2 linked regions of the Alligator mississippiensis genome follow. The protein of the gene in region 2 purifies or fractionates together with the protein of the main gene of each other region. This does not show direct contact. Links are inferred from orthologs where the notes say so. Each region holds a gene or a part of one and is shown on either strand. Other genes may lie near its edges.

Evidence for each region.
Region 1: the proteins of KCNQ1 (region 2) and AKAP9 purify together in Homo sapiens (affinity purification with western blotting; 3 studies listed by BioGRID and IntAct, with this or other methods). This does not show direct contact. The link is inferred for Alligator mississippiensis from reciprocal best matches to the Homo sapiens genes KCNQ1 and AKAP9.

What each region holds. Positions count from the first base shown.
Region 1 is NC_081828.1:176,116,033-176,127,603, forward strand, and holds the start of AKAP9 (A-kinase anchor protein 9), read right to left. Parts: upstream 5,945-11,571; 5' UTR 5,896-5,944; coding exon 5,802-5,895; intron 2,884-5,801; exon of another isoform or gene 2,675-2,883; intron 1-2,674. UniProt on the Homo sapiens protein: Scaffolding protein that assembles several protein kinases and phosphatases on the centrosome and Golgi apparatus. Required to maintain the integrity of the Golgi apparatus. Required for microtubule nucleation at the cis-side of the Golgi apparatus.
Region 2 is NC_081825.1:188,957,804-188,969,538, forward strand, and holds the start of KCNQ1 (potassium voltage-gated channel subfamily KQT member 1), read left to right. Parts: upstream 1-7,020; 5' UTR 7,021-7,172; coding exon 7,173-7,576; intron 7,577-11,735. UniProt on the Homo sapiens protein: Pore-forming subunit of the voltage-gated potassium (Kv) channel involved in the regulation of cardiomyocyte excitability and important in normal development and functions of myocardium, inner ear, stomach and colon.

The sequences.
Region 1 (11,571 bases), on a different chromosome or scaffold from region 2:
ATGCATGTCAATTAAATACTTTCTGCTGACTAAAGTAACTATTTTAAAATAGCTGGGTGCATGCAACTCGTATGTTGATTAAGAGTACTATTTATAACCTCTACTGAGGTATTACATTTCAGTTATGCTGGGTTGTTCGGGGGGGGGGGTTGTACTGCTTACATCTTCCACCCAAGAAGTAGTGTTCTTTTTTAATTATAATATTTCAGTTCACAGTGTTTTCTACTAAAAAGTAGCATTCATTCAAAATCTCAGTACAATATAGATAATTACTATGAAACATAAATACTGTTTGTGACCCAGTTCAGTTTTCTCTGAAGTATATGGCATCCTGTCTACATACTAGTTGTTTTTTTGGAGGGGAAAGGGGTTGGGTCCAATTTGTCTGGTTGTTTTAATATCCACCTTTACTCCAGCACTGAAGCATTTCCAACAATGCTGGCACTCAAAGAAGACTGGAAACCAGATCTTTCAGCCAGATCTGCTGTAAATGGATTAGATGACATAATAGTAAAGATATTTATGGGCCATATTTCTGCTTCACCTCATTTCTTCCCCTGGAGAAGAAGAGAGAATGGAATACTTTAGTCTGTTCCATGCAGACAAGACTATTAAACCAGTAGAAAAATAAGATTAAAAGTCATGGGTTCTCAACCTTCATGTTTGAGCCATTAGGCCTTGCTAGTGGAAGCTACATGAATGGATCACATAAGTGTAGATAAAATAAGATTTTCCTTTCACTTATTTTCAGAACTCGGCCTTTTCTGAAGTTCTGGATTACTTGGAATTTTATTTGCAGGACTGGGGGTGGAGGGGGCATGGAAAGAGGGCTTGCGCATTTGTTTAATTTTCAAATGTCAAGTGTAGGGCCAGCAGTACTCAAATGTTAAGTGAAATACATTTTGCAAGGTGTTATGGAACAGGACTGGGAAGAAAACTCGTGGGCCTCTTACTCTTTCAACCAAGTTTTACATTCAAGCTAAACCAAATCTGTGCATGTAAAAAAACTCTTATGGTCGTCTCATGATTTTAAAAGAAAGAATAATTTTTATATAAATTTTTTAAATCAATTTTTAATCCCAAACAGGCATAGGGTGTGTTTGGGTTTATGTAGATACACAAGTCAGCTACCTTTACACAGGTGCACAAGTTCATAAATTGAATTGTGTTTCAAGTTAGCCTGTAAAGAAAATAAAGGGTTGCCTGAAGGTAACAATTAGCTAGCAGCTCATTCATGAAGCAGACAAATTCTAGCATCTATTCACTGGCTGTGCTGGAAAAAAGTTAAGGAAGGTAACAAATAATTTGTAAGTAAAAGTTGAAGTTTTTCCCATAAAAATAAAAGTAGAGTTTTAGAGAGTCCCTAAAATTATGTTCTAGGATCAGTAAAAACAAAAACCCAAAACAAAAACCCTTCAACTCAAAACTGCAGAAAATTGAATGGCTTTCTTCAATAGGTTTTGGATCTAACCCCAAGAATGAGCAAGTCATATCATCCATGTAAATTATGTTGCTCTTTGGTAGACAGAGTTTAAGGCCATTGAAATAGTAGCCAGGTTTTGTTAATTCATCACACATGCATTACATTGTAACAGTAATTTCTCAATCACTAAATATTGCATTAAGATAATTATGGACCCCCAAGTCCTATAATTAAATGATACCATGAATGATTGTTAAGAAATGATAGGCTTCATTTTCCCCAGTTGGAGTTTTACAGCCATGTATTAAAGGAGTTGCACATGAACCCAACCTATTGTATGCACAGTATGTCAATTTGATTAAATTCTACTTGGAAGAAGAATTTTTAGAAAATTTCACTGAACCTGCACTATATTCTCATTACATTTCTGACATTTTAATCATCTAGACAGAACAGCTGGACTCACTTATTGACTTCCACCACAGGTTTATTGACTACCACTTTTCAGTCAAATTCTCTCTTACACTAATATCAGCTTTCTAGATATTGTGATCTACACCCAGAATGGCAACCTACAATCCACTGTATACAGAAAACCCATGGACTGCCACATTTACATCCACAAAACCAGCAATCATCTCAAACACACCAAAAAGCTGTAATCTAGTCAGGCCTTCAGATACACACATCTGCTCTGAGGAAAATACATGCAACACTGATCTTGCCAAAATGAAAAAACTGTCATTACCCAGTAAGCACACTGCAGCAGAGAACACTGGTTCCAAGTTCATCACAAGCAAACTCCCTATTGATTAACAGGCACCTAATGGGACCCAGCCCTGCCACAAAAGTAAATCCAAGACCTCTGAACTAATTTCTATTGTCAAAGAATCAATACTCCCCATAGTAAAACCAGCAGAATCCAAGGGTCCTCCCTCATCCAGTGCACCAAATGCCCTCACAAGAACTACATGGGTGAAACCAGAACAAAGAGTGCCATGCACCAAATGAACGATCACCAAAGAAAGATAAAGGACATAGACACTAGAACACAGGTAAGAGAGAAGATTTTTAAAGAATAATCATTCCCTGTCTGACGTCACAGTTTTTGTACAGTACTTAAAGGTTTTTTGTACATTTCCATTAAAAGACATGCCTGAGAACAATTGGACAAGAAGAACCAGGGGCTTAACATAGACAGTGACTTTATAATCCATTATAACCTGTTTGATATTCACTAATCTCACTTACTTCACAGGTGATAATGACCCTCCTGAACAATGCTGTTCATCCACTCATCAGGTTCTTAACATCTCTTTTTTTGTTAGCTACCTTACATTTTCCATTGTGTCCTGTTTTACACTGCTATTTACTGTCCTGTTCCATCTGCTATTTAACTGCAGTGCCTGCTTCTCTTCTAGACACCCTAGGAAGGGTACTGTGATACCCAAGTCTACAATCTATCCTAACCATGCAGTTGGTTCAATAAGAGGTGTGCTGCCCTCCTTTTAAAGAGATAACACTTAATCATTCAATTTTCCCTCCTAAATCTTGCAAGTTAATGCTAATACAGTAGTGTGTGTATGGGGATGGGAAGAGAACCTTTGCAATTTTATAGGAACAGAAGAGCGCATCTCTTGCTTTAATTATAGAGTGGAAATTCATATAACTTCATACTAAGTCAGCTGGTCTGTAGGTTTACAACTCAGTTAGCCATTTAGCCACTTAAAGTTTGATCTGTAGAAATATTTTTATTCCCAGATGAAAGACGATCAGTACTGGCTAATTTAAGACACTGCTTGATTAAGGGTCAACCCTCAGTTCATCAATATTTAATAATCCTGGTTCATTTACTAGTCTTTCTTGAGTACACGCCGTAGACAAATGAGTAAATTGCTTTAAACTTTTAGCATAAAAACAAATTTTAAAATCTAGATCCGAGATTCCCTGACCAACGTAAGTAAATGTAAATCAGCACTTCAATCATTTATTTATTTTTAAAAACAAAGCAACAGTTATTATAAACATCATTAAAACTAACTTTGACTATCAAAGCTGACTATCCTTAAGGGGTTCTGTGCAAAGCAACAGCATTAATCTCTTTCCTTATGGACATCAGGACACACAACTTTGCCTAACAATTGATCTCTCCCTCCTCATTGCCTCCAGCCTGCCTTCTATTTGCTGGTTTGTGAAGTTTTCCCTGGTACACCTTAAAAAATTGGAATGCCAGAGGGTGGAGATGAAGTTTTACTTGCCAGCTAGAAACCAAAGGAAAATAGGATGATCTCACCTCTGCTACAGCCTGCTGTAGTCAGAGTCTGAAAGGACTTCAGGTGGAAAGTTACAATTGTGGAGTGTATCCTTGCTCAGTTGCACGAATGAATCGCAGAAGTTCTAGAATTTCAAGGAACTAGATCAGAGGTCAGCCTTTTAGCAGTGTCTGGTTGAATTAACAGAGCTTAGTCAAAAGGTGTTTTTTGGATCTAGCTGCTGTCGTGTGCGACCAATTATTCTACTGCTGAATGCTGCCAATTCCTCCTACCACTATCCCAGCTTTATTGGCTAGATACAGTCTCTTTATGGGCTGTATTGGGTCCAGGGGCCATCAATTGCTAACCCCTGAACTAAACAGATACATTTGTCACTGAAGCCTAAAGCTAAATGCCGAGATACTGTGATGACTTACCAGAGACAGATAGCTTAATACCAGGCTATAGTTTGTGAATCCAACTATACATGGGTTGTATAGTAAATAAAATATTGAAGGAAAAAGATCCTAAATGAACTACACGACTGTTTCAGAACCGACTGCCTTGTAAGACTATGCCCCCCCTGCAAATCAGAACGTTTTCCTGCCATCCAATATGACAACTCTCCTATTTTAGGTTTGCGCTGAAAAATGTGAGTGTACACATATAAATGAATGTATCAGTCAGTTAGCAGCATGCTAGCTCCCTGCCTCTGATGGATGCAGTCCCACCCTTCTATTGTTACACTGAGATGTGCTGTACAAAGCCTACACCTAAAAGAATAGACTGAACAGAATTGTGAATGATATCATATAAAAATAAGATATTTGAGAACAGACTATCCCTAAAACACTATTTGATCAAGGCCTGCTTCTGTTGAAAAACTAGTGGAGGTTTTACAGTGAAATTCAGTGAGCAGGATAGACACCCAGCATTAGATTGTTGCAGTAACTATAAAAATGATTTCCATTTTGGCATGAGAATAAACACGGAATAAGAGGTTAACTTGACAAATACCTTACCTCATCCCTTGCCAGTCTGCTACACCAGTTCTGTTTCCTCACCCCTTTCAGTCCCTTACTATCTGCTCCACAGCTCAGCAGAGCATTACTTTGCACTGATGTATATACTGATCCCAGAATGCTGTGGGCTACTGTCACCATGGTTGCAGTAGGGAAGCATTTTAAGTAATATGTGTAAAGTTTGTTATTTCAGAAGCCTAATAAGATAACTGCTAGATAGATTAATAAGGCCAAATTCAGTCCTGGTGTACATAGGTGCAAGGCCTTTGAAATCTCAGGCAGTATTTGACTTATTGACCATAGAATATTCTATTTAAAATGATAAACATTTCTTCTGCACATACTCTCTTCCTCCAAATTTTTATTGAAGTACAATTTCTGACAGGATTAATACTAGAGGCTTGATTGTTAAAGTCTGCTAGGGAAGCCGAGTGGCTAGGACATGAGATAGTTTGAAGAGCGAAAACTGAGCATTCTACCCCCCTTGAATAAGATGACAAGGTTTGTTTAAAAACATACATTGTGGCTTGTGATTAATATAGTGGTTGATCAAGGTCTCCTAACCACATTTTTATTTTTATCTGTTTACATATTTTGTTTAGTCAATTAACAATCTAAGCCTATGAAACAGTTTGGACTGGAAGGAAGGAAACATAACATTTTAATTTTTGGGAAGTCACAAAAGTGTGTTGATGCTTCTACATTAGTTGTAAATTAACACCATTCTTACAAGCTATATCCAACAAAAGCACTATACTACTCCTTCCTGCATATGACTCTTTTTATTTATTATTGTTATTAAATATTCACAGTGTTCTGTAAATCAAGATAAGTTTTATTGAATGTTTTTATAGACTGTTGCAGTCTGCATCTGAACATGTGCCGCCCCCCCCCCCCCATTCTATGCATGCATTCATTCAATACATATATACAAGCATACTCATTCACAAACCTTAAAGGTGCATGTGTGAACTTAAAATAAATGCTTTTCACATTTTCTGAACACCCACCATGTTTCTCTTTAGTTTAAAAGGGATTAAAAGAATCACTAACTCATACAATTAGAGAAGCACAGACCTCTTGTAAAACTGCAATAATACATACCCCCTGAAGAGGAGTGTCTTTGTATTCTGAATCCTGGAGTTGTGCAGCTTATAGTTTGACAGATTGTAAGCGCCACATATCTTTTTTTGGACATTTTTCATTATTATATCTTATCCTTCAATTATAGTGGCAAATATTGTTGGTATGAGCTGGTTGTTGCTTTACTATAAATACTGTAGTTGAAAAGAGGCATAAGGTCTGCAGCTGAACAAGTTTAGTGAGATGAATAATTTATTCTGGAGGCATAATATATTAGGCAAGGTAATTTAAGCAAGCCTGAAAGGAATACAAGTAATTAATTAATTATCTCTAGAGCACCTGATTGACATTTGCTAATTCAGCTAAGTGCTGAAGATCAATTTCTATAGCAAATCATTTGACGTATTCAGAGATATTACAGGAAACTTATATTTTACTCTGAGTTATGCATAATTGTCCCAGTTTCCTTTAAGTTTTTAGAATACTATTCATTTATGCTTGTTGTACGTACTTGATTTCTGAAAAAGCAATATTATTTTCCTCCTATCTTTTGTATGTATGTAATTATTAATTTTATTTATTTTTATTAATTTTAAATAGAATATGAAACTTTGATGAATAATATGAAAGTTCTTATAACCTTTAAGGCAATGTCCATGTGTTTTCCGTAGGTTTGGGGAATGAAATTAGTTTACCAGAGTAGGTACCAACCAGTTCCCACTGCCTCCCTTCAGATATCTGCAGATTATATTTCACAGTAGATTAGAATTTCTACATTTGAATGTGTAAAGAGGAACTCCAGGGATCAGAAAGGATGCCACAACTGAGAAATCTGGAAAAACGTGTGCCTAGAATGGAGATTCTTTTACTGAATTTTGCAGTTGCTAATAAGCCCAAGTTATTTAAGTCTTAAGATGTCCCAAAATATCTTGTAGAAGTTAATTACTTTCATAATGAGAATTAGTCCTAAAGCATTACATCACACTAAAATCCATGCATTTTAGTATTATTACCTTTATTTAAAGGATAAGGCTTGACATGCCATGCTCTATTGGTCCCAGAAGAACTTGTAAATCCAGTTAAGAACCTGAGGCTTAGCCTGGGTACTTAGTGGCTAATTTTTCCCCACCTCCTCAGGTACAGTGGGTTTCAAGTGAAGCAGAACTTGAATGGGTCAGCATCAGGCAATGTGTATATGTGTATGCAGAATTTGTAAAGAAAGTGCACATTCCTACACCCTATGAATCATCACAGAGGCTCCCCAAAGCCAGTGCCAGACAGCTATATAGGGATGGGTAGGAAAAGAGGTAGGTAGGTTAGTTAAGGGAATGGACCCATTACTGTGCATATGCATCAGATACTGTTCAGATCTAGCCACTGAAGCTACTCCACCCCTGAGTTCTGTTGTCGGACTGAGCACTAGGGACAAGATTTACCCTAATGCATTGTTAATCCTTTTAGTCCAGTAAAGGTAGGTAAAGCTTTCTTTACAATAAAATGAAAATCAATCAAGAAAAAAAAATCCTTGCCTTTTCTGAATCTCTGATTTAAGAAAATACTTGGGCCCCATTGTGAATATGATGATGACAACACTAGACACATTGTTTTTTTTTTTTACTAATTTACTTCATGACTTCGTAGACAAAGGCAATTTGATGGAGCTACATGGATGGCAATACCAGCATCTCTGCTCCTTGTTTCATGCTACCCAAGACCTTATTGACAAACATTTTAGAGACCTGTCACCACTGGTCAGAATGCTAGTGGCTTACTTCTCCATCCCATATTCTCTACAAGAGCGTTCTGGACCAATGTCAAACTTACGTAGATGGATGGAGTCTTTGCATACAACAGAGCTGTGAATCGCTGTTAACCAAAACAGGTTTGATTTTGAAACTATGGGATGGTGGGTAGGGAATTTTTATTTGTTGTTGCTAATACTTGTATTCTTTATCTGTGAAATAAAGACTTCCAATTCAGTAACCAAGGACTAGAGTCAGGTCTTTGTTTTCCAAGACAGAAATCTGATCCTCAGATCAATTTTGAACATATTTTGTGGGTAAGCAGCAGGTAAAGTCTACTTTCTGCAACAAAAAAAGGGGGGGGGAAGAAAAAAAAGAACAACGTGTAATTAAATTATCCAGTTTACATCTGATAAAGTGATATGCAAATAATAAAGATTTTCTTTTAAAGGAAGACAGGTAAAACACTTGTGAAAAAACTGATCTTTAGTCATGCATAACTGCATCAATGTGGTATCCTATGTCAGTGATACTTTTTTGCCTCTTAATTATAACACACAATACTGCAACACAAATCCTGTGTTTGTAACAGACCAACCACCACGAGCTACCAATACTGTCTCCTGCTTTATTAAGTTCTCCTAAAAACAGTCACCAGTCAGAAAACAACACAGCTCTCCTGCAAGTTACAAATCTTGATCGTTAAGTAAATCTGCTGCTACTAGAAGAGAAATTCTACTAAGCTTCCCTTGTACAGGTCTGCAGCGCATGCTTTTTTTTCGTGTCAAAAAAATAGGTGTGCACCAAAAATTCAGTTTAAATTTAGTTTCTCTTTAAAGTTATTACCCCTTGAAGTCTTAAATATTACAGTAGGTTGGGAACGCGTGCTATTCAGTTATATGCTTAATGCACTGCAGCTCCCAAAATATGACTTCAGTTTGTCTTACACTGCCATCTCCTGGTCCAGAGGCTTAGTTTGAAAAAACCAATACATCTGAATGGGAACGAAGCTCTGCTAGGTGGCAGCACCGGAATAACATGCAAGCCTTTCGAAACTGATGGTTTCTTCTGTATGAGAATTGACTCCTTCTTCCTCTGGCTTTCACCTTTACCCTGCGTCGAGGAGGAGCACCCTGCACAGGCATGGTGGGCTGGTTAGCCCCCAGAGACAGCGCAGAGGGTGGGGATCCGGCAGCACACCGAGCCTGGGGCGTTTGTGCTTTCCACGTGGCCGCAGTGAGGCGCAGCCGGGCGAGTGAAGCAGAAAGCACGTGTGCCAGGACCCGAGGGAAGCCGCGGCAGGACAAGGACAGTCGCTATCCCGGGGAAGGAGGCGCTGCTTTGCCCCCTGGCCATCGCCTGACTCGGGGAGTTGTTTGATGGGAGCTTCATGTCCCCAGACCTGCCCTCGGAGCACAGGGAAGGTGGGCTGATCAGAGAGCAACTCTTGGGATACATTGCTGCTAAGCGAGGCAGCATGAAACTAGAGGACGTGGGTTTAGAGCAATATATTTAGGCTGAATGGACTTACTAGAGCTGTTGCATATTCACTTCATTCATTAGCCTGATTTTTTTTTCTTGACTACTTTCCCCCACCCTGCATCTGTCCAGGCAATCTGAACACACGTTCTCGCTCACCCTGACCGGTGGGCAGAAAAGTTATGGTCAGGCATCATTTTAAATAGCACAAAGCTTTTAAATGAAAAATCCCTGGCCGCTTTGGAGGAATGCTGCTTCCTTTCCCTTGGCCGTATCCGTCATTTCTGACAAGTGGATAATAATGAAAAAAGAAAATACAAAAAAAAAAAAAGTATAAGCAATAAAAAGACCACTTGGTAGTAGCTGTTTAGAGCTTATTTTCCAAGTAGAAACACGTCTTTGAACTCTAGTATCATGCTTTTGCATTTAAGTCTCAATAGCACAAACTGTGAGGCATATACTTAGTTTAGACATCTGAATAATCCCTTTGATATCAACTAGTGTCATGTTAAGCAAGGGTATGACTGCAGTATCAGGATCAGGGCTATACGACCCAAGCTCTTCAGGACAGATAATGGGTCTTTGTTAGTTTGTACAGTACAATAATGCCTGCTCTGATCTGGGTGCTACTGCATTATAAAAAATAAAGAATCATTAATAACAGCTGAGCTCAAACAATTTAGTTGTATTATAACTGGATCTCCTTTATTAAACAAACCTGGAAAATTATAGTTCATGAAAAAATTGAATTTTATTTTACATACAAAACTTCCTTCCCCACTCCTAAACAGCTCTCATAGCCCCTTCATCTATTTTCTGACAAAACATACCAAGCATTTGGTACTATGAGAGAGAACTGATTATCCTAAAATATGTAACAAAGGATTAACACTGAAGCTGTTTTTTATGAAACTGCTTTGTGTAAGTATACACTTATGGATATAGTTTGATTAGTTATTTCTGATTGACATTATAAAGCCTGCACAACTGGGTACCAACAGAGTAATGTTGCTTTACCACTGCTTGGTAGTTTTAAGCGTGGGGATTGGCTGGTTGATGCATCCTATTCTACATCCTGAAGAGCCTGTTTTGGAGGGGAAACAGCAGCTATAGCAATCAAGTTGGTTTCTTCTATTGATCCCAGGAATAATGAATGATACCAGCTTTAGAAGCTGCACCTGGAATATCTCCTTTTACTTTATTTTAGTAATTTTGCATGGAAGGGATTGGTTATAAAATTAAACATACTAGAAGGAGATCTGGTTGTCTTTTGGCTGAGTCATTATCAGCAGGAATTAAGCTTGCATTTTCTGGATCTAAAAGCATTAGCTTCCACTTCCAACAACACATCACCAGTCCTGCAGCTGAAAAGCTGTAGCTGACTTAAACTTCTGTACATAGGCTAACCACAGCACAGTAGTATAGTGAAGGTGGGAAGTGGGGGATGACAGCCATGTTATTTAGGTGTAAGTTATATTTGCTGAAAGAATATTCCTAATTGTGCATTGATACAGGACAGAATGTAAGGCTGATGTTCTTTATTTCATATTTTAGGAGTGTCAACAACTTATAAGACTTATAGGAGTGGCACCTGCCTTGCCAGCTGGAGGTGGTATACTGCTCTGACCATTGACAAGAAGCCCTGAGATAACAGAGGAAGGTAAAAGTACAGGAACAAGTGTTAAACAAAAGCAAAAGGATCGGTGTCGAGCAAAAAAGACGAGAGGGAAAATCGTACTTTAAGGACTAAATTCTCTACTGATATACCTGGACCCATGGAGAACAAAAACGGAGCTGTGCACAATTACACCAGGAGAAAATATGGGACATAGTATTTTCTAATGGATACATTCATAGTTGCAAATGTATTTAGTGACAATAACACAGACATGTAGTTGTAAGGGTACATTTCTGAAACATGGTGGATACTTATTGGGATATTTAAGCAGCCAAGTAGCTTCACTGACCTTACATTTTCTGCTGTTTCCCATTGCTTTTTTGATCATTAACCCATATGACAATATGTGATTATTTTGATTTTTTTCCAGATGTGAATAGAAAAGATTGATGTGCATGTAACTCAGATACTGAAAAGCACTGGCAGGTGTTATCCATATACCCCAGGTGTTACTGTTGCACCACTGTTATTGAGGACGAGTTAGGCTTTTCAGTCCTTTCCAGAGGCTCAATTCTGGTTGACCTATGAGTTTGATATCAAAACTGCTACTTACAGCTGCTGCAACTGAAACCACCTTGATAACATGCAAGAGGAATGAGATTTTTGAAGGATATGAAAGAGGGAATAGATGACTAAGAGAAAGAGAGTGGGATAATAAAGGAGAAGAGAAAAGGAAGGTAAAAGTGTGTTGAAAGCCTCTGGGTTAGGGTAGGAGGAGTGAGCAACAGGGTGATGTGGTGGGTGTCTGCTATAGACTACCAGACCAGGAGGATAAGGTGGATGAGGTTTTCTTCAAACAGCTAGTGGAAGTGTCCAGATCACAGTCCCTGGTTCTTTGGGGGGAGAGACTTCAATCTCTTTGATGTCTGCTGAGAGGGCAATACAGTAGTGT
Region 2 (11,735 bases):
AGACCACCCCACTCCCCAGCATCCCCCACTAGCTGATGACTGTCTAGAAGTGGCTGGAAGGGAGTGGGGGAAGATGGAGCCCCCCTCCCCCCATTCTGTGCAGTCCCTCCCTCAACTACCCCTGCTGGAGTCTTGGGGGGAATTGGGCCAGGCCTGTGTGGTGGGGAGGGAGGGGGGGCACCCTTCCCTCTGCCCTCCCCTCCCCCCCCATCAAACCACTTGTCAGCAGCAGCCTCCTGGCTGCCACACCTTGAGCTGGGATGGGAGGAAATAGAGCCCCCACACCTTGCAGGACCAGCCTGGCTCACCCCAAGACCCCAGCAGGTGTAACAGCAGGGCTCTCTTCCCCCATGCCCTGCCTCAGCCTTTTTACAGTGGCAGCACACAGCTGTTGGCTTGGCTTTGCCACAGCTGGAGCAGGATGGCTGGGGGGGACCCCCACCTTGCAGGCTCCCTCCAGCTACCCCTGTTGGGGTCTTTAGGAGAGCCAGGCCAGGCCCATGAGGCTGGTTGGGGGGGGGGGGGGGGCTCCATTCCCATCCCCCACCTCAGCTCTGGCCATGGCAAAGCTGAGGGGCAGCTGCATGCTGCTGCTGTCAAGAGGATGAGACTGGGGGGGGAATGGAGTCTCCCAAGCTGCATGGGTCCAGCCCAGCTCCCCTTAATATCTCAGCTGGAGTAGCTGGGGGGAGCCCACAAGGTAGGGTGGCTCCCTTCCCCTACCTCCCTGCCTGAGCCTCTTGACAGTGGCAGCATGGAGCTGCCAGCTCAGCTTTGCTGCTGCTGGAGATGTGGTGAGGCAGGGAACGGAGCTTGCCTTGAAATGCAGGCCTGGCCTGGCCTCTCCCAAGAACCCGGCAGGGGTAGCTGCGGGGTGAGGGTGCATGGCGGGGGGCGCAGGGACTCCCTTTCTCCCTGTGCTTGGCGGCTCAGGGAGGAGACAGAGCTTTTTCTGTTTCCCTGCCAATAGCATGGCAGGACTGAGGTCAGGGCTGGGCCAGTGCTTGCCTGTGAGCACCAGCCCAGCCCTGCAAAGGCCTCTGGGATGTGGATGGAATAATCTCAAATTAACCCTTGGTCAGTGTGTCTACACATATATTTATGTGAGCTAAAATGTAATGTGCCTTTGCTTAAGGTGCATTAAGGCGATTTAGACACGTGTCTACCTGTCGGTGTGCTAATGTACATTAAGGTGCATTAACTTTTGGGTGCAATTAGTTAAGTTGCATTAGCCCACATGCAGATGTGTTAATATGCATTAAGCATCTTCACAGGCTAACGTGACTCAGTTAATCATGCCTAAACTTGCTACTTGCTTTATGCAGGTATCAAATTTAGGTGAGATTAGCCTAAAATCACCATTTTTAAGGCACATGCAGACACACACCCTTCATGTGCCTTAAAAATGGCAGTTTCAGGCTAATCCCACTACCCCCAGGGGTATGTGTAGAAATGCCCGATGTAAATCTGTATACAGGTTCAATAAAGCACTCTGCCCTAGAGCACCTTCGTCTGACATTACATCAGATGAGGTTTAACTTTTCATGTGATCCTCCATGTTTAAAGCACTCTGCAGCCCTGAATATTTGTTGTTATGGCTACAGAGCATTTTTGGTGGCCTCATAGCATGAAAAGAATAACTTCTGTACACACCCATAACCTAAGGAAGAGGTTTTCAGAAGCATTTGGACTATATCTGCTTCCAGGAAATCAATGGAACTGGGAGTTTTACGATCAGCTTCAGTGGGAAAAAAATCAGGCCAGTGCTGATTGCTTTTGCAAATTTTACCCTAGGTATAATATCTTTCTCAATATGCAAACATATAGCACGGCACATTTTGAAAGTATTTGTCAGTATTTCCCTAGCTGTTAACCTTTGGTTTCTGGTTCTTAAATGATTGCTTTATTCTTTTTGGCCCATAAATAATAATTTTCTAAGCAGAAATGGAAACTATAATGATGGATAATGATGGTATAGTTCCTCCTTAATATTTAATTGTATGTATTCTCATTATTCAAAGTATTTCATTACTTTATTTATCAAATCAGTGCTTGCTTGCTTAGTAAATTTTTTGACACTCTTCCAACTACTATTTCCATTCTTAGCTTTCTATATGGTGATCATATTCTTTCATTTTAATTATTTTTTATTATGTAAAATAGGAAAAAATGCAGAAGATATATTTTTCAAGAAGTGAAAAACAAGAATGTCATAGATGTGAATTATAGAATTCTTTATTTTTGAAGAAATCTATCTATCTATCTAATGTAATGTGTGTGTTTTTTATATAACACACACAACACCCTTCCAAACAAAGGCTTACAAGAAGAGACAAAATAATTTACAAAAGCAACATATAAGATCTATAACAGAGACTCCCTATCCCAGAGGTTCCCAGACTTTTTCCTGTTGCATACCCCCTTCCAGATTTACCAGCTCTACCAGCATATGTTTTTATGTTTTATATTTTAACCTCTTAAATGCCAATTATTATAATGACATTTAGATCCACCACTACACATTTTTCTCCTGAGTACTTGCCAGAGATGTCTTGCACGTACCACAGTTTGTGAACCCCTGCCCTTATACCATTCCCTTACTTAATCTTGCTTGCTAAATGCCTGCCTTAATAAGGTCTTACACTGTTTCCAGAAGACAGTTTTGCATATTGTATATTAAATAGGAGACCTCCTCTTCATAATAATTAAATTAATTATTGCCTGGATTCTAGGTGCTAATTATTCATTAGTTTTGACATTTCCTTTGAGAGATGACCTTTGAGTCATAATAAGTAGGTCAAGCTTTCCAGCATTTAGTAACTAATACAAAAACTGGTTGGGTATTTTCCAGCCAAAGTTTTGAGAACTGTACTATGGTTGCTTCAGTCAGTGGGCCCCAGAGGGCAGTACCAGAATTTTCATTTTTTTTTTTTTATAACTCATCTTAAATTATCCTATTACAAAGTAGCTGGCTATGTTTTGAGCACTTTGCTCTTGTGAGTAACTGTGCATCCAGTTCCCTCTAAGAGACTTACTGTCTAACCAAAGACTTATCCAGGTGGTTTTTGTGGCTGCCTCCCACATGGTAATAGGTGTTGAAAATCCCTGACAACAGAAGCCATAAGGCCAGAGAGAGAGAATATATTTATAGAAGTCCATAGCTTCCCTTTCTGCATCCTTAAGTACGTCTTGCTTAGACCTTCATCCAAAAATCAAATGACTTTTTGCTAAAGCATTTGAGGGGGCACAAGAGTTGGTTTTCTTTTAGTGTCCTCAAGTCCATGATTCTGCAAAGGTGGGTTCATGTTCCTATGGACCCATGTATTAGCAGGCAGGGGACTCTGATGTGTACAGTAAAGGGTGGCGTGATAAACAGTTGCATGTGGATGCTTCTCACAACAAGTTTCTGACAGGTTATCTGACCACACAATGCCTAACATGGGTCTGTGCTGAGTTCTATGTCAATTAGACACAAGGAAGACATCCTTTCTTCTGACATGCTGTTTTGTTAAGGTGTCTTATGTCTTGTGTTCTCATGGAAAAAAAATGCCAGCGATTTAAAAATAGATTTAGTTTTAATTGCTTGCTTATAAAACAATCTTTGCATATTTTCCTCTTTATCAACAGTTTGCTTTCTTCATCTTTGAAACAATAGTACAAATACCCAGCAGGTGTTAATTGGCATTCCAGGGAAGACAATAGTCATGCTGGTTTTACTTCGGCTGCAAGTTTGAATGGAGGTAAAATTAGCAAAGCTGTTTTTTTTGTTTAACTTGATATAGCACCTTATCTCACTTTAGCATTTGGTTTTGCCAGTATTGCCCCTGAACTCAGCATAGCTCTGCTTGTTAACTAGTTCTGTTCTAGCCTTGGCTCAAAGTAAAAAAAGCATTTCATATCAAAGAGAAACCTGAGCTTTAGCTCTAGGAATAGAAATTGTAAGCTAATTATTGAAGCATAGGTTCCTGTAACCATGGTATAAAACAATTTGTCACACTGAAGTCAGTCATTGCTTAAAACACTAATTGGAAAAGCTATGCCAAGCCCTCATATAACCTGACAGTAAAAAAGCCCAAACATGTAAAGCAGGAGTCCCTTAATTTTCTTTTAAAGGTGGTGATGGAACAGCCAACTATGGTCTTCAGTTTGAGGGGCAAAGTTTATTACACTCTAGTTCTTCCTCCATGTTTTGTTCATTTTATTTGGAATACAATAGCACCAAGCATTGGCCCTGATTCTTGTTTGTCCTGTTGTGATGGCTATGGTTACACACAAGTTAAAATGCAAACATGACTTGGTGACCTCACAATTACAGCTCTGTTGAGAAAGGCATTTTCCATTTTGTGGAGGATTTCAGCACTCCAGGTTCTGAAGCTGTCAGAGGGATGGAGCAGCAGATGCAAGGCTCAGGCGCATACTGGTGTCCTGTCTAAAATGATAAACTCTGGGAACCCAGGCTAACTAATGTGCCATGAGCCTGACACATTAGTATCTTGTGGTGCTGGCGTTACAGGCATATAAGAGCTAGTGCTCCTAGGGCTTTCAGGTCCTTGGCTCTCCATCAGCCTGTTAAGACCAAACCACCTGGGACCATGGTCTCCCCCACAGCTGGTCAGGCAAGCTAGGAAATGTTTAGACAGGTTTCTATCAGAACCCAGCTGGCTTTCTGTTATGATTCCATCTTCCTTTCTGGGACATTTTGACTTCCCTTAGCATTCTCTGGTGGAAAAAACCAGGGCATTTCTAACCTGGTCAAGTCACAGTTTCTGTGTCAGAGAAGCTCTGAGAGAGAGATGAGACACTGGTGGCTGAGATAACACTAAGAAAAATGTACGTGTCTAAGAAGTAACTTATCAGTTTCATCTCAATGTCAAGTGTGCCACCTTGTGTTATAGAAACAGCCTTGTACAAGAGGTGTAGCTTGGAAAGGCACTTCCCTAATACAGTCTTCTAAGGTAAAATTCTTTGCCTTTGTCCATTTGTCCAGAGTAAAAGTAAATCAATAGTCTTAAAGATGCTACTATTTAACTCCCCTCTCCCCCTTGCAGAGAAGAGCTTTGCTGTCTCTCCCCGGAGCCTTAACTGTACCCCTGAAGCCAATATCCACATAGGTTGCTGTCATAGAAACATAGAAAACAAAGGCTGGAAGGGACGTCAGGAAATCACCTACTCCAACCGCCTGCTCAAAGCAGGACCAGCCCCAACTAGATCATCCCAGCCAAAGCTTTATCTAGTCGAGTCTTAAAAACCTCCAAGGATAGAGATTCCACCATCTCTCTGGGTACTTGTTCCAGTGGTTAACTACCCTCCTTAGTGAGAAAGTTTTTTGCTAATCTCTAATGGAAACTTCCCTTGCTGCAACTCAAGACCATTGCTCCTTGTTCTGTTATCCGCCACCACTGAGAACAGTCTAGCTTCATCCTCTTTGTAACCACCCTTCAAGTAGTTGCAGGCTGTCAGCTGAGTGAGTGGGATGGATAGGGCCTTTTTTCCCCAGGTGGCCAGAGGGACACAGGATCACAGGTTAGCCTTCTGGGAAAACAGATGGTTTAATCACAGTCAGGCTATAACCCCTGCCCATGGGCAGATCTAGGATTTTGAAAAGTGGGGGTGCAGCTAGTGTGGTCTAGCAAATACAAGACCACATGCATTTTTCTGAATCAGTGTTGCCAACTTTTATGATTTTTAGAGTTGTTTTTAAAGTCTATGCTTTGGGAATGTGAACAACTTGGCTCTTTCTTTTATATACAGTTATAGTTATATATAAATGTATAAAAGAATGAGCTAAGTTTTTCACATTCCTGAAACATAGACTTTAAGAATAACACCAAAAATCATGGAAGTTGGCAATACTGCTTAAGTTAAAAAGAAACTAGAAGCTTTACTAATACGTATGGGCCTAGAGTTGTATTATTTCATTTAAGATTGGAGCAAAACAAAAAATTTGGAATTTCGATATCCTATCATATGTTATATCTAAAACCACAACACACTAGGCAAAAATAATCCAATGATGTAGTTTCATTTGTCCTGGAGTCATCACAGTTGCATGCATGTCTGGTTTTCGGATTCATGAAACAAAACCAAGCCTCCCTGAGCATCTGGACAGTGCCACTTCCTTGAAACCAATTTCCGCACCTGAGCTAATGCTCACCTGAGGTAACACTCACCAGAGTTAATCTTTTTTAGCTAAAGCAGCGGTTCCCAATCTGTGGTACAGGTACCACCAGCAGTATGCAGGCAACCTGTCAGTGGTACGTGTTATAAATCATAGTATCATAGTACTTAGGATCGGAAGGGACCTAAACAGATCATCAGGTCCAAGCCCCTGCCCCGGGCAGGAACAGGTGCCGGGGTCATATCACCCCATTATAAAGTAATTGTAATCAATCTGTTAAGACAGAAATTTGCGGATGGCACTTAAGGTTGAACTGCAAAAGTTGCTGGCGGTGCTGAAGGTTGAAGCGTTTTAAATGGGTGGTGCAAAACCTGTCAGAGTTTGGGAACCGTGGAGCTAGAGTTACCACTCCGTGGGGCTGCGAGATGGAGGAGCAGGGAACAGCAGGCAAAGGAAGGTGAAGCGAAGTAGCGGGCCCAGGCAGACCATTTAAAAGGAAAGCGGGTCCTTAACACCTGTGGCATGAAGAGTTTAGCAGGAAGCCAGAGACTTCTTATGAGCTACCAAGGCACTTGACTGACCCCTCCCAGCTGCCTGGCTAGAAGCGCTGCTGCCACAGCTTAGGCTTCAAACTTAGGCTAGAGCAGGAATCAGAGCGGGGTGCAAGTGCAGCCCTGCCCTCCCACCTGGACCCTGCCTTTAAAGGGACGTCCAGCGCCTGTGCTGGCTGCTGCCTTCCCGGGGCTGAGATCAGACACAGACACCCACACCCCGCAGCGCCCTTGCCACCTGGGTGGCGCGGGGCGTGCGCGCAGGGGAGGGCGGGGAGCCCGCCGCACCGCGCCGCGCCCAGCCGGGAGCGGGGCGGGCGCCCGTGGCACGGGGCCCCGGGTCGGGGTGGGTGGAGACCTCGCACCTTCCCCGCAGGAGCCCAGCCCCGAGTGGGCCGGGCCAGGGCGCTGCCGGAGCCAGCGAGCGCGCCGCCTCTCCTCGCCCCCCCCTTTGGTTCGGGCAGGAGGGGGGCACGGGGACAGCGCTGCCGCCGCTCCCCGCCATGTCTGCCCCCGGCCCCGAGCCGCAGCCCGAGAGGCGCCGCTGGAGCCTGGGCCGGCTGTCGCTGCCCCGCAAAGCCAGCATGCCGCCCTGCGCCAAGAAGCCCGCGCTGGAGCTGGCCGAGAGCGCGCCCGGCGCGCACTACGCGCCCATCCCCGCCGCCCGCGACCCGGGCCAGGGCCAGGGCCAGGGCTCCGCCTGCCCGCCGGGGGCCCGGGACGGCCCCGACCGCCAGCTCCACAGCGACGTGGTGGTGGTGACCCCGGCGCCGCTCAGCCTGGACCCCCGCGTCTCCATCTACAGCATCCGCAGACCTCTGCTGAGCCGCAGCAACCTCCAGGGCAGGGTCTATAACTTCCTGGAGAGACCCACGGGCTGGAAGTGCTTCGTCTACCACTTCACCGTGTGAGTAGCACCCCGCCTTCACTGCCCCCTGGCTTCTCACCTGCCCCCGCCTCTCTGCCCAGGGCCTCCTCGTGCCTTTTTGAAGCCTGAAAGTGCCCCTGGATAGCCTCCCACGGACCATGCCACTATTTTGTTTTCTCTTCCGTTGTTTGGCAACTGGGAAATACCAGCCTCTTTCCCTTGTTGCTGAGAACTGGGGATGGTTGGGTGGTTTTAACCCCATGGAGCCCTCTCTGCAGTCTCTGGGGTTGTCTTGTGAGTTGTGATCACCTTTGCTCGCTTGGCAGCACTAGTGTGTAGCAACCCATGGTGCCCTTGAAAAGATCTCCAGGCACCCTAGGGTGTCACAGCATCCTGGCTGAGTCCTCTTTGCAGTCTTGGGGTTCATCTTATGTCCTAACAATGCTGTTGTTGCATGGCATCCTTTGGCACCCTTGAAAGGATCTCAAGGCACTCCAGGGTGCCCCAGCACCCAGGTTGGGAATCCCTGCCCTATACATCCCTCTGCTGTCCCCGACAGCCTGTGCTGAGGCAAAAGGGAGCAAGCAGAGAGCGTGTTTTCTTGGGCTTAGCAAGTGTAGTCGGGCTGCCGAATGATCTGACTTCTTGAAAAGGGCAACTGCACTGAGCTCTCCCACCTTTTGGCCTCCAGACCAACCAAACTGATTGGCATAGTCAACCACAGTAAATTTCCCACAGCCTCTGGCTTTCTGCTGTTTTGTTAATTGTTTTGCTGCTCTGCATCTGTCAGAGGAAAAATCTTACCCAGCTGCATCGGGGAGGTGTGTGTGCTGCATGTTTTATGCAATATGTAAACTCTTTTCAGTTGCTTTTTTTCCCCCCCTAACAGATAAAAAACCTACCTAGCCAAGGGACTATAAATCTTGCCATCTTGACTGACCTGTATCTATTTTTAATGAATGTGTTTGACCTGTGCATGTGTTCTGTTCATTCATTACTGTTTTTGGAGAGCAAGCCATGAAGTGTTGAGAACTCTTTATTCCTACCACGTTACAGAGCAAATAAATTTTGCTCTGCACAGGGCACTTTAAACTATGTGTCAGCACTTGTTTGAATAATTATTCCAGGCTTGATTCTGTTACCTGTTTGCTTCCACACTGACTAATGCTTGATCCTGTGTGCAGTCCATGGAAGTCAGTAGAACTGTTCATTGACTTGGGAACAATGTGACTAATCAGCCTCAAGATGAGCCAGGCAGATGGAGCTGGTCCTCAAGACCTTAAGATACATTTCAGAAGACTCGCATTCGGTGGATGAAAATTCGTAATACCAGTTCCTGTACTGGAAATTGCATGCTAGCCAGTCATCACTTTACACAACTTCTTTTTTCTTGAATTGATAGGAGGGTTATTAAATAGCTCTAATAATTAAGTTTTGCGTACTTAATTTAGGGTTTTTTGTTGCGTATATGAAGCACTGAAGACTAAAATTTTCAGTCTTTATTCTGGATTGTGATACTTGAGGCATATCCACAGTGACTCTACGGATGTATCAAAAGTGGTGGCTGCTATTGCTGCTGGTGTGTGTGTGTGTGTGTGTGTGTGTGTTTTAAACAAGCAAACTTGTGTCTGAATCCAAGAACATAAAGGGATAATAAATATTAGACGTGGCATGTTTTCTTTTATAAAGTGGCTTTTATTCTTCCAATTGACCCAAATTACTTTACTTTATTCTTCCTGTTGGTTTGAGAACGATACAGTAGGCTGCATTTTAATGGGCTAATGGCTTGTTTCTAATCTGCATTTAAAACCTTTTACTTCTTAATTATTCCAAATTATTATTACTTTCTTCCTCATCTCCATCATATTAGGTAGATCGGTTGTGCCACAGAATATGGCAGGAGACATGTTACGTCTATACTGTAGAGGCAGTTGTATCTTTGCCTTTCCTGATTCTGTTACGGACATGGTCCTTCATCACATTCTGTTAAGCCTCATGGTGCATTGTGTATGTGTGTCTCTGTTATCACTCTTATTTTTAGTCAAGTGAAAAGAGGCTAAAGCAACAAATGTTAGAGGCTAAACTGAGTGCAGTGTCTGTAATGTACCTGAAAGTGGAGCAATGTGATGGTTGTGAATTGGTGAAGCAGTGGATCAGTTCTGTTGTTCATCAGAAGCCTACAAATGTATGCATGAAAAATTAATGTTTTTTTAATCTAGAACTTGTAAAGTGTTGACATAACCCTTGAGCAATTTGCATATGCTACATCTGCATAATAAAATAAAAATGAACTGAGATGGATGTCTTGAGTTTGCTTAGTTAGGGAAAAATACAAAATCCCGTGTCTGAAGGCAAAGTGCGTCATAAAAAAACATTTTTGAATTTTGCATAATGCTGAAGCTTCTTAGTCTGAACAGGCTGGGTCAGTTGGTGCTGGCATATCTGTCATTTGAAGGACCAATCCTAATACTGGAAGCTGAGTTAGGTCTGGTGGTGGGGGTGACTTTGGATGACCACAGTAATTTATGGTCTTACTCCATGCCTGAAGTTTTGAATGCTGTATGTAGATGGATAAGCAGTATTAACCCTACCTAAGAAGCTGGAAAAACAGGCATGGAACGTAGACTTCCATGTAAGTACGCTATAACCATGAGAGAATCCATTAGACCAATGACCAACATTTTTCAAAAGTGATTTTTGGGGACCTGATTTAGAATATTTTCAAGGGAGTTGTTTCTATCCTATCTTCTCCGCCCCAAAAAACAAAACAAAACCAACAACAAAACAAAACCACCCAAATCAAATTAATGTGCTTCAGTATTCATCCTCCTTCAGGTGTCCCAAGTTATACATCCAAAAACAGAAGTATCCAAAATTATTTTGAAATTCATAGTTAAAGTCTTTTCAAGTGCTAAGAAGTTCTACTCTAATGTTGGGTGTAGGTAAAGATATTTAAGTAGTAGAAGGAATGGTTGAATCTCCTGAGATGTAAATGATATTTATGCTGCTGTTCTATTTGGAAACCTGTTATTTTAAGCCTTATTCTGTGACTTAAAATGTTACTGTTCATCCTGTTTTCTCCAGAAAAAGAGAGAGAACTTCTATCCTCTCTCTCTCAAAAAAAAAAAAATGATGGAAATGGAAAAAAGAAATGAGATTAATATCTGAGTTTACATAACTTGGAAGGTAGCATAGGTGTGCACCTTTATAGACTGACTAAAGGGGGTGTGTGCACATGCATAGGGCACAAACTTTTGTACATCTGATAAAGTAAACTTCTACTCATGAAAGCTTGTGCACATTTATATCATCTTATTTAACTAGTCTATAAAGGTGCATATCAACCTTGTCTTCTGACTTCAGACTAACACTGAAGTCAGATAGGCATCTGACTGAATGAACACTGAAGTTGGATATGCATCTGGCTGTGGTCATCTGATCCCAGCACTCTTTCCTGCCTAGGCAGGGGGTCGGACTCGATGATCTGTTGAGGTGCCTTTCAACCCAAACATCTATGAATCTATGAACACGGCTAACTGCTTCTCTGCTTACCTAACTTAAACATCACTGCTAGATTCTCAGGTGGTATAGATTAGCTCAGCTCTCTTGCTTTCCGGAGTCATATGGACTTACACCAGCTGAAGATCTGCCTTACTGTTTTAACTAGACTTTTGAAGACAGTAGGTAGTGTGGGCTGATGTTGTCTGCTGTTCTATAGGAGCTAATTAGAGATATTGTAATTCTGTTAGGAAAATAGCTAGTCTGTCCAGGAAGTTTTAATTTATTTTTCTAAGTGATGTGGTCGTTTGCATGCATTGATCTCATTGAGCTTCTGTAGCTCCAAAGAAACTGAACTGATGAAGAACAATAATGATAATTTTTCTTAAACCCCTCAATACATGTTTACAAACTTCCAAGTCTGTGCTTATAACACTGTAAGGCGTGTGGCCTCCCTAATACACTTGCATTCCCTTCTAGGAAGGTATTCAGCAATAATGATTTTTCTGGTGTAGATTTTTTTTTTTTTTAACCTCTCTACTTGCCATCTTCTGTCAGTAGGGGGAGCCGAATTTATGTCTTACTGTGTGTGCAGCCAGCAGCAATCTCTGTTTTTGTATGTCTCCAGCAGTCCTGCTTCCATCTTTGTGTCTTCTCTTACACTCCTCCAGTTTTTTGTTTTTTATGTGCAGCCTGTAAT